2 linked regions of the Caenorhabditis elegans genome follow. The protein of the gene in region 2 interacts with the protein of the main gene of each other region in a pairwise test. Each region holds a gene or a part of one and is shown on either strand. Other genes may lie near its edges.

Region 1 (3,571 bases), on a different chromosome or scaffold from region 2:
CATAAAGAAGAATTCCACGTGGAGGAGACAATAAATGACTTCCACTTTGCGATGCGAATCTCAAGGGTAAAATAATGCGATCCTTTAGTTCAGCAACAAGTTCTTCGCAGCCACCTGTAAAATTTTTCTTTTTTTTTGCGAAACAATTTTCTGTTCTACCGATCTCATCCCAATCTGCTCCAACGTCTTCTCCGCCAACAAACTGCGTGGCGATTCTAATTTCGTGCTCTGAGAGTTCTATTTGACGATCGATACCAAGTTCATGAAACAGCTGTGCCACCTGTATATTAAAAAAACAAAATTAGTGTTGTAAATCTACAAACCTTCTTTTTGCTTTCTTCATTCACACTATAATTTGGATCCAAGTACTTGACTAGATAGCGCACTGATAGAAATGAAACTGCAGCCGCCGCCACTACTCGAATTGCAACACCGATCAACTCATTACGATCCGTCATCTCTAACATAACAAGTATACCTTGCTGTTTTATCATCTGCTAGATATTCTTGATTAACGCGAATAATTTATCTGACATGGTTGAATACAAAATTATATCAACAATTTTATTGAAGGGTTTTGAATTAACAGGTAACAAATTAGTTGGAAGCACGGATCGACACCTGGTACACTCGGATGATGTTATCGGTGTATCCGGCGAAGAGGGTTTGTCCGTCTTGAGACCAGGCCAAAGAGATACACTGTGGGCTGGATCCTCTTGAGCTTCCAGAGCTGGCGATTTCTGGCTTGAGCTCCTCGATCTCCTTCTTGTCCTCGAGATCCCAGATCTTGATGGAAGATCCGACAGCGGCGCAGAGCCAGTATCTGTTTGGAGAGAAGGACATGGCGTTGATGACGTCGTTTCCTGGAAGGGTGTACAAGTGCTTGCCCTCGTTGAGGTCCCAAAGCATAGCTTGTCCGTCTTTGCCTCCGGAAGCACAGAGGGAACCATCTGGAGAGACGGTAACGGTGTTGACGTATCCGGTGTGACCGATGTGGTTGGTCTTCAGACGGCAGTTTCCGAGGTTCCAGACCTTGACAACCTTGTCCCATCCTGCGGAGACGATCACTGGATCGCGGTTCGATGGAGAGAAACGAACGGTGGAAACCCAATCGGTGTGGCAATCATCCTAAACAATAGTTTCGATAAATCTTCCTATAAAAGAATTTGAAAAAACGTACAGTGATGGTGTACTTGCACTGGGCAAGAGTGTTCCACAGCTTGATGGACTTGTCGCGGGATCCAGAGACGATTTGTCTGTTGTCAGCAGAGAAGGCAACAGAGAGAACATCCTTGGTGTGGGAGATGAATTGACGGGTGCTCACTCCCCTATAAAATTGTTTGCACAATGTTTTTTTATTGAATTACTTACTGGTTGAGGTCCCAGAGGCGGAGGGTCTTGTCCCAGGATCCAGAAAGAGCGAATTGTCCGTCGGAGGAGATGACAACGTCAGAGACGAAGTGGTTATGTCCAGTGAGCGAACGAACTGGGCGACCGATTGGTCCCTCATCGACTGGAGCAACGCTGTCGACATCCCAAACAAGGATAGTCTTGTCTGAAAAATGTGAGTATAAATTTGAAAACGTTATATTAATTGACTTACCGCGGGAAGATGACAGGACAGTGGTCTTGTCGTTGCGGGTGTAGGTGGCGATTTGGGTAACCCATCCGGTGTGACCCTCGAGGGTTCCGGTAAGCTTCATTTGCTCTTGGACCATTTTGCTATCTGTGTAACCCCGTTCGATCTGCTAAAAATAAAAATGTTCCATATAAAAAAATGAAAATTTTGGAGAATAGAGCGAACGAAAACCATAATTTTGTTCGAATTATGTTAAAAACATAGCCACTTTAATTATTAAATGTTGAAAATGTTGAAAAAATCATTGCTTTAACAGAAAAATACAGAAAAAAGGAAAAATCGTCCTAAAAATTCGCGTCAAACTAGCCAGCCAGCAGCAGAGGAGAAGGGGTGAGTCGCTGCGAGACCCCACAGCGAAAGTCTATGCGCCTTTAACCTGGCACTTTGCCAACTAACGAATTTACGGAACAAATTAACTTTTTCTTGTAAATTTGCATCTATGAAGCAGTTTTTGACACTTTTTTAAATTTACTTATTTATTTATTCAATTATTTATGTTTAGCTTTTATTGTGACAGTTGTTTTCGAGTTTAGCGAGCCATTTATTTGAGCCTTAAAATTAATATTTCTGAAAACTGGTTTGATTTCTTCGAAAAATTATTATTTTCTCATTTAAAAGCAAAAATACTTTAGTTTTTACATTAAAATCAATGTAATGTGGGTTTAGTTCTAATTATTCTCCATCCATTCAAATTCATCGTGTCGAGCTCGAATTTTAAAGTTTAACATTTCAGCATCCGGGGTTGCATGTGTGCAAGACATATTAAGATTACTGCATGAGATATTGCCAGAAAAATCTGACGAGACTAGTTCTTTGCGCATATCTATTGCTTTTTCGTGGAATTCCTGTCAGCTTAGTCATGCTTTTATGGGTTTCAAATTGACGAAGCGACAAAAATGTTGACTTCTTGTAGAAATTGGCCAATTGTCCGTGAAAACTTTGGTATGTGCTTGAAAATCTTCGAGTTGTTTCCTTATAATGTTTAATACCTTCTCATCTTAAATTTTACGTTGATATGCCAACATCACTATTTTAAAGTTTTTTTTTCATTCAAAAAAGTCATTTTTATTTTGAAGAATTTTTGAATACAATATATTTTCAATAATTCCCCATTTTTTAGCTGACTTTCAATACAACAACAGAACCTTGCAATAGCAATAACATCACAACAATTCCCATAATGAAAAATATTTTTTTGCTCCTAGACATTTTTTCGATATCTGTTTTTTTCCAATGGGAATGTCAACAATCAACTCTTTCCTGAGCCAATCTTCACTCGATTCTCTGTCTTCTCTGCAATCAGTGCAATCTTTAACCCAATCAACCTGCGTCTCAACTTTCCGTTCCTCTCTTATTTCTTCGCAGCACCTTCCGTTGTATTATTGATCGGTTCGCAGTGGTTTGGCGGTGCTTTTCCGCACCGTCCCTCGCCTTTTCCTCCTCCAATTTCTTGCCTCTACACAGACTGTCCGATTTATTTCTTGTCCTCTTCGCCTCTGTGTTGTTCCTAGTCACATTCCTCCAAATGCCCGTCCCTATGTGTGTGTGCGGCCGCCGCATTCACTATCCGCCCGTTTAATCGCCCCCCCCCCCCTCAGACTTTGATTCCCTTCTTCACAACTTTTGCATCCTTTTCTTTCCTGTGTCTAGTGCCCCTGATTGTTTATAATCAACCTCTGATAGTAATAGAGATTAGACGTTGTTATCGGCACACGACGACATCATTATCACTTTGTAATTCAATTGGTGGTAACTGACTGGATGGGACCCTTTTTTCAGTTGTAGATGATCAGAACAATCGAAACTTTCATAAAGACACTAATCGAGGCTAATTTTTGATTAAGAACGGGAGTGGCAGAAGTTATGCCTTCTAGCTGTACATTTTCACTACAAATGTCCTAGTTTTTCTTTTATATGTGACTCCCATTTTAA
Region 2 (7,108 bases):
CTAGCGTGGCTATTGTAGGTTTAAGTATTGTCATGGTAAAAATTGTTTTCATCTCAATACAGTTATATTAAGATGCTCCCAATTTGCATAATTATGTCAAGAAGGACACTCTCATCCATATCAATTCTCGCAACGGAACAGTGCGGAACAACAAACAGGTCACTTTCGAGTGAAATGTTTCCCGTTTCATTATACATTATCTGTCGCATTCTCATCTTTCCGCGTTTGTACACAAATTGGAACCGTGAGAAGTGCATGTAGTGAAGCATATCTAAACATTTACATGCCCTCTTCACTTCGAGAACAATGATGTGGAAAACATATCTTCAGAACAGAAAAAACATCATTTCAGAAAGTTGTATTCAGATTTCTAAGTGTTTTTTTTTGGCTCGCCATCTCGGGACCGGTTGATTAGCTAAGAGTGTGACATCTCTACAACTCGGCCGTCTGTTTTTGGCCAGATGCTCGCCGGAGGCAGGCACGACTGAAATATTGTCTCATTTCTACTTTTGCAATACATCGTCGAACGTGTCAGTTTTCAGTATAAAGGTTGGTTTTTTTTAACGTTGGAAGTTGAAGAATTAACTTCAGTTTCTGAATAAAACATTTAGTTCAGGACATGCTTGAAGCGTGGCGTGTACTAAACTAACATTCTATATAAACTCATTCAAAATAAAATACGTTTTTATAGAAGAGATTATAGTACATTGCAAACATTCGAAAACTGTATTTGTAATTTTTCCATCAATAAAACTGTAAATTAGTTACACTGTGAAAACAGTCCCACTTTTGACAGCAACTTTTGGACGTTCACATGCTTGAAATTATTCATGGTGTGCTTCCTAGTTCCTCGAAACCAATGCCCACTAAAGAAATGTTTTCTTACCCACTCAAAATAAACTCTTCTCATCAATCCTATCTAAATTGGAAGACATTGGGGTCCCGCAAAAAGTGATGTCCTCTCTTGTCCTCTTCTTCCCGGGTTTCCTCCTTCTTCGCATTTCCTTTTCCTCCGTCCAATGCTTTCCCTTGGCATTGGTGGTAGTGGTGGTGGTTCAGAGAGGAAGAAGAGTGAAGGCCGGAATGCATTTATTGTGAATTGGGAGTAGAAGAGAGAAAGAGAGAGGGAGCGTTGCGCGCAGCTGGGCCATTTATTGATCGCTGCTGCCGGGGGCCCCTATGTCTCTTCTGACGAATGGCGGCGGCGACGAGTGTTGTATGTGTGGATGTGTCTGCGTCTCTCGCCCTGCTCCTCTCGTCCCCCTCTCGCCTCATGCAGTAGTGCCGGGGTAGGCGGCGGACAGCTCTACTTTAGACCTCTCTCCGCTATTCTATACCACCACTATTCGCAAGCACTGCGCGTCGTCTCCACTTTGCCATGGGTTCGTTTTGGTTTTTTGTAGTGTTAACGATTCGAAATGTGATAAACATAAATATGATTGGGCTTCAATGTTTGTTTCTAGATGTATTAGATTGAGATATTAGCTTCATGCTAATATACCGGAAGTAATTTCTGGGCAGCAAAATCGACCTGCACCATGTCCATACTTTGACTATATTGTTATTTCTTCCGTTCTGCTTGTTTGTCAAAATAAGAGGTTTCTGGAAAAATTTCATAATAGTTGATTTTCAGTTTGGTACCGATGACTCAGAAAGAGTTACAATGAGACAAAGAAACAAACTGCAACAAAAGAGAGGGCAATGTCGCCCTCTTTTTATTCCTTTTTTCGCTACCAAGTTCTAGCTATTTTGCAACAAATTTTTCAATGCTTCCCGCAACAAATAAATCAAAAAGGGAAATTGAAGATTGACAGTCTTCTTGATTGATTTGATGGTAGATCTTCATTGAGATATTTGAGAAAAAAATAAACAAGCGGAGAATGAAATTCAGCAGACCTGTATTATCAGTAAACCATTTGATTTTAGGCAAAAAATGCGACGTATGTCGCAAAAAGTGCTCAGGAGACGTCTTAAAAGCGAATGACAAATACTTTCACATCAACTGCTTTCAGTGCAAAAGTGAGTTCAATCAAAACAATTTTTCCATGATAAAGATTAGATATCCAAAGTTATGTTTTCAATTTCCATGAAGTGCCGACATTTCGAAATGTTTGCTTTTTCTTGTGGAAGAGACGGGAAAATGTTTCAGTGTGTTTATTACATAATACAGCACGAGACTCTCGTTGTTATCTCACTTCTGTTTGAACAGGGCATAGCATCCATTACTACTTACACGAAAAAGAACGTTCCAAGCTAAACATTGATAAAAATCTAAGAAACATTGTCACAAAACCTAATAACCAAAAAAGTTCAACCTTTGAAAAAATTAAGGAACCTACTGTTTATGCTGTTTAGTGTTTCTTAGGTTAGATTTACCAATCAAGAAACAAACAAAATTAAATTGCGATTTTCGCTTTCAATTCAATTACACACATATTTTTCTTGGCCACTTTTGTTTCGGGGGACACTGGTCTTCTTTTTATGACCCCATTTACAAAAGTGTGTTTTCTGAGAACCACCGCCTTTGCAGAGAATCTTGTAATCCTCGAAAGTTAGGCTTCTCCATTGTTCATCCATCATAGATTGTTAAGAAGGATTAGTTGAAATGTGCAACTCTATGACACAAGAATTTCTGCGTCACCATTTTTGGAAAATGGTGCCTGTTCGATGGAGTGTGAAAATGAAAATTTTGAAGCGAAACGTTTTTGACATTTGAAATCTAACCTGACTTTATTGGTTTTTGTTTCAAGTTCTGTTCGAATTCCACCTGCAAAATGGCAAACACACTATTATCGCACTGTTTACCTAAAATCGATTCGTCGTTGCGTAAATATTTACCGGGCGCTAAAAGACAAATTTTGTTTCATGGCACACTCAACTTGAACTCTATGAGGTGTAACAAAAATGAAGAATTATTTCGGGTGATTGAGAATATGAAGAAATAATTATTATGATTTGGAATAGTCGATCACACGTGAACAATTTTGAATGTATAAAATATACCGTTCTGGAATAAATGCTCGTTAAATAAAAGTTTCGACCACGGCAGGATTCGAACCTACAATCTTCTGCTCCGTAGGCAGACGCGTTATCCATTGCGCCACGCGGCCAGATGGCTCTAATGTGTCCACTTCGTAAGACAAGCAGATGTCAGGCGGTATTGTGAATTAATGAGTGTGAATTGAAAGGGGTGACGGTGACGTTACGGTTCGCCTCTGTGGCATTTTGAAAACTTTTTTTCGAGGTTTATTAAAATCTATTATTTTCAGAATGTGGTCGGAATCTAGGCGAGACGGGCTTCTACACAACACCAGAAAATGCGTATCTGTGTCCCGACGACTTTCGCGCCGTATCCAAAGAGATAACAGTGAAGACGACGACGCAACAAGCACACGCGTCTTCCTCAAGTGCGGCGACGCCCAAATCTCCGGAGAAATCAAATGGTACAACGGACGTGTCGTCGAGTGGAGCCGCTAATGCCACGCTGCAGCAAATCTCTCCGCTCGGATCACCAACAAGTAAGCAATGAGCTGTCGGAGTGGCAGTGAAATTTGAAACTTTCTTATGTATAACACTTAATATTGCAGCGTGTGCCGCCTGTGACCAAGCTTTACATTCGGGTCAAGTACTTCTCGCTCTCGGTCTTTCATGGCACGTGTACTGTTTCAAATGCAGCGAGTGCTCAGCAGTTCTCCATGGAGAGTACATGTCACATCACGGAAAACCATTGTGCCTTCGAGATTATAACGAGAAATTCGGTGTCAAATGTTACGAGTGTGAAAAGTTCATTGCTGGAAAAGTCTTACAGGTGGGTATTTGGTTGATAACAAAAAATAAAAGTAAAACCGAACAAAGTTGATTTGTGAACAAAACAATTTAGCACTACATTGTCTACGAAAAACCATAACAACATATATTTTCAGAAAAAAAGAAAGTATTTTAATCAATCTATTTATAAAAACCTTTTGGATCTTCCTGTTCCAAACTTTTGTTACTTTTGCAATCAAGGTTAAGTTGTACCCCTGCAAAACGTTGAGAAAAGTTTTTTTGTTAAAAAAAACACCAAGATCAAAACAAGTTGTCTATTCTTCTTTTGACCTTCCCAAAATATTCTATTCAGTCAATTTCTTTTATTTAGGCTGGCGGCTACAAATTCCATCCAACTTGTGCCCGCTGTTCACGATGTGGATCTCATTTTGGTGACGGTGAAGAGATGTATATGCAAGGAGACGAGATCTGGCATCCATCCTGTGAGCACGCGCGGACCACCGAAAATATCGCGGTATGCAATTTCATTTTTCATTTTGTTTTTCCAAAGTATCCGATTTCATCACATTGAAAGTCAAGATGATGATGATGCTTTCTCAAAGCATTCGAATAAATTCTTAATTACATTATACTTTAAAAAAAATCAATTTTTAGCCAACTGGACGTGCTGCCACATTGTCTCGAAATGAGCCAAAATATCAATCAACGTTTGGACAGCATCAAGCATACATGTACTTGTTGCCAGAGGTGGAACAAACCTACTTGAGACATCCAGTGATGAACGCCAAGGAGCCAAATGCTCCACAATACCACGTTCCACAAGGACCAATCAAGATTCGCAAGTCAAGGATGTCGATGCTCAAAACTGGAATGCAAAGACTTAGTGAGTCCACATACCCGTTTATTAGACAAAATATTTTATTTTCAGCGGAGGATTTGGAAAAGAACATCCCACGTCCAAAATCTCCACACATGGACAATGAGGAGCCAATTGAATTAGCTCACTATCCAGCTGCACATGTGCCCGATCCAGACACGGTATGTACTGCAAAACAAAAATACGTTAAAACTTGAAAGATATTTGAAACTAAACAATATAAACTTACCGTTTTTTAGTCATTCAAGAGCTAAGTAAATGTTTGTGAATTTCAATTATAATCACTAAATTGTAGACGCCAAATCAAAGTATTAAGCATCCTTTTTTCAGACTGTGCAGAATAAAAATTAAAAAAAAATGTTTAAACTTAAGAAGAAATGTTTAAATGTGGGAAAAATACATATTCCCGTTGAAACAAAACTCAATTTCAAAACTTTAATTACGCAGGAAATATATTTTCAGCTTCCTGCTATCGAGCGAGAGGATTTCCCTGCTCCACAATTCCCGTATGCCGTCGAAGAACTCAAAAGAAGACTCTCAACATCATCGGTTGAAAATGAGATTTCCGACGATGAATACTCGGAGAGCGACAAGGTTGACGAGGACAAGTTGAGAAAGACTGTTGAAACTTTGGAGAAGTATAATGATTCTTCCATTGCTCACGTCATCAGGCAAAACATCGAAGACAGTCATAAGAAGCAAAGGTATTATATTTTATTGCATATTTTATCATATAATTACTAATTACGTTGCAGGCTGCCACTTCATTGGGATCCAAGAAACGCAAGCAGAACCCCATCTGGCAAGAAAATGCCACATCTCAAATTCCGTTACGACGTCCCAATCAATGCTTGTATGTTTTTGTGCGCTTTCCTAATTGAATCAGTAGCTGGCTATAGAGCACAACACATACTCCTTTCGTGCGCCTTTTCTTCTTCTCAAGTGCAAACTCATTGCCCTTTTTCATTTTTTCAGCGCCATCTCGTCATCTCAATCGTCCGCGTCCATGGGTTGTTTGGCAAGGAGGCGAGAGAGACCAGGGAAACAATACACTGCCGTGCTTCCACATTCCAGAGGATAGCCGGGCGAATACACTCAGAGCCGCCACACTTCCGACGGAATTCGGACAAAACTTGTCGCTTGAGAACTTGGACACCACAATTAGCAGCCACTATTCTGAACGTATGTGAAAGTTTCATGGGAAAATTTGGAAAACAGAAGTTGGAAGTGAAGAAAATAGTTTTAAAACAGTAAAATGAAAAATGGACTCTCTTGCAAAACATTTTTGCAATATTTGAAAAAGGAACGATTTTTGATCTAAAAAACACTGTTTGTTGGTCACTCAAACATGAATTATTAAAATATTGAAATCAGATAACCTTGATAATGTATCGTAAAAATTCAAAATTCTTACTCTGTTATTAATTTTTCTCAAATTAAGAGAATAACGTTTAGACTTCTTTAAACAGTATTTCAAGAACTTTTAAACTGCCGTAGTTGTCACAATAATTGCTTTAATTTTTTCAGACTCGACGACGGAATCTGGAACAGCTGGAGGACCTCGCTCAGCTGGTGGAGCTGTGCTTCGCTCTTCTCTTCCTGACATGAGCAAACCTGCCAAGCAGTACGACCTGCTGTTTCTCCAAACGACAAATTCGGACCTCCCAGAAGATGTTGACAGGTGAGTAATGAAAAAATAAGTTAGCATTCAACTGACATTTCCTTTTTTGTAGACAACATTTGGAACGACACTTGCCGCGAGATCAATTTGAGGAGATCTTCAAGATGTCCTTAATTGAATTTTATAAGCTGCCCGAATGGAAGAGGATCAATTTGAAGCGAAAACACAAACTATTCTAACATCCTCGTTTTAGCTGTCGTCGTCTTTCCCTCACCCTCACCAAATCATCTTGTTGCCTGTGTCTTAAACAAAACGTTAGGTCGAATTTGTTTTCTTTTCTCCACGCGTAACTTTTTCAAATACTCTTTTTTTTGGTCCAATCTATTCTCATCCCAAAGTTGCTCCTGTTCTGCGCATAATTTCGGCAGTCAGTGCATTCGTGTTTTCGGAAAATTTGCATTCATTTCTTCCTACTTTCTCTTTATGTATTGATTCTGAGGCACTTTACTACTCTGTTATGTTTTCTGATTTTTATGCCAAAATATTGACCCAAACTTCTCAAAAATATCTTTCGGGATATAGCTTGTCAGCTTTTATTGCCGCTTTCAACTAGTGTTTTTCATTCAAAATTTGTAATTTCTTAATCAACTTTAAAAGTAACTTTAATTTGTCTTCTACGCGGAATCTCGGTTTTTTTCTCTTCTTACAGTTTTTCTCACAAAAGATTGCATTTTGCATGCGTGCTTTCTTCTATATGAATTGGTGTTCAACGTTTAATTGTCATTACATTTTTATATTATTCTAAATTCCCCTCACATTAATAAGCTTTTTTTAAATTGCTT

The links.
Region 1: the proteins of unc-115 (region 2) and rack-1 interact in a two-hybrid assay, tested with the Caenorhabditis elegans proteins (one study listed by BioGRID).

Annotation. Positions count from the first base shown.
Region 1 is NC_003282.8:10,174,857-10,178,427, reverse strand, and holds rack-1 (Small ribosomal subunit protein RACK1), read right to left. Parts: upstream 1,749-3,571; 5' UTR 1,719-1,748; coding exon 1,604-1,718; intron 1,556-1,603; coding exon 1,372-1,555; intron 1,329-1,371; coding exon 1,181-1,328; intron 1,129-1,180; coding exon 598-1,128; 3' UTR 553-597; downstream 1-552. Other genes in the region: mspn-1 (Mitochondrial sorting homolog), read right to left, coding at 1-114, 160-280, 324-458.
Region 2 is NC_003284.9:10,145,612-10,152,719, forward strand, and holds unc-115 (Actin-binding lim zn-finger protein limatin involved in axon guidance), read left to right. Parts: upstream 1-1,880; coding exon 1,881-2,019; intron 2,020-3,037; exon of another isoform or gene 3,038-3,110; intron 3,111-3,269; coding exon 3,270-3,518; intron 3,519-3,587; coding exon 3,588-3,808; intron 3,809-4,138; coding exon 4,139-4,282; intron 4,283-4,422; coding exon 4,423-4,651; intron 4,652-4,696; coding exon 4,697-4,806; intron 4,807-4,868; exon of another isoform or gene 4,869-4,969; intron 4,970-5,107; coding exon 5,108-5,349; intron 5,350-5,400; coding exon 5,401-5,498; intron 5,499-5,620; coding exon 5,621-5,827; intron 5,828-6,172; coding exon 6,173-6,326; intron 6,327-6,378; coding exon 6,379-6,505; downstream 6,506-7,108.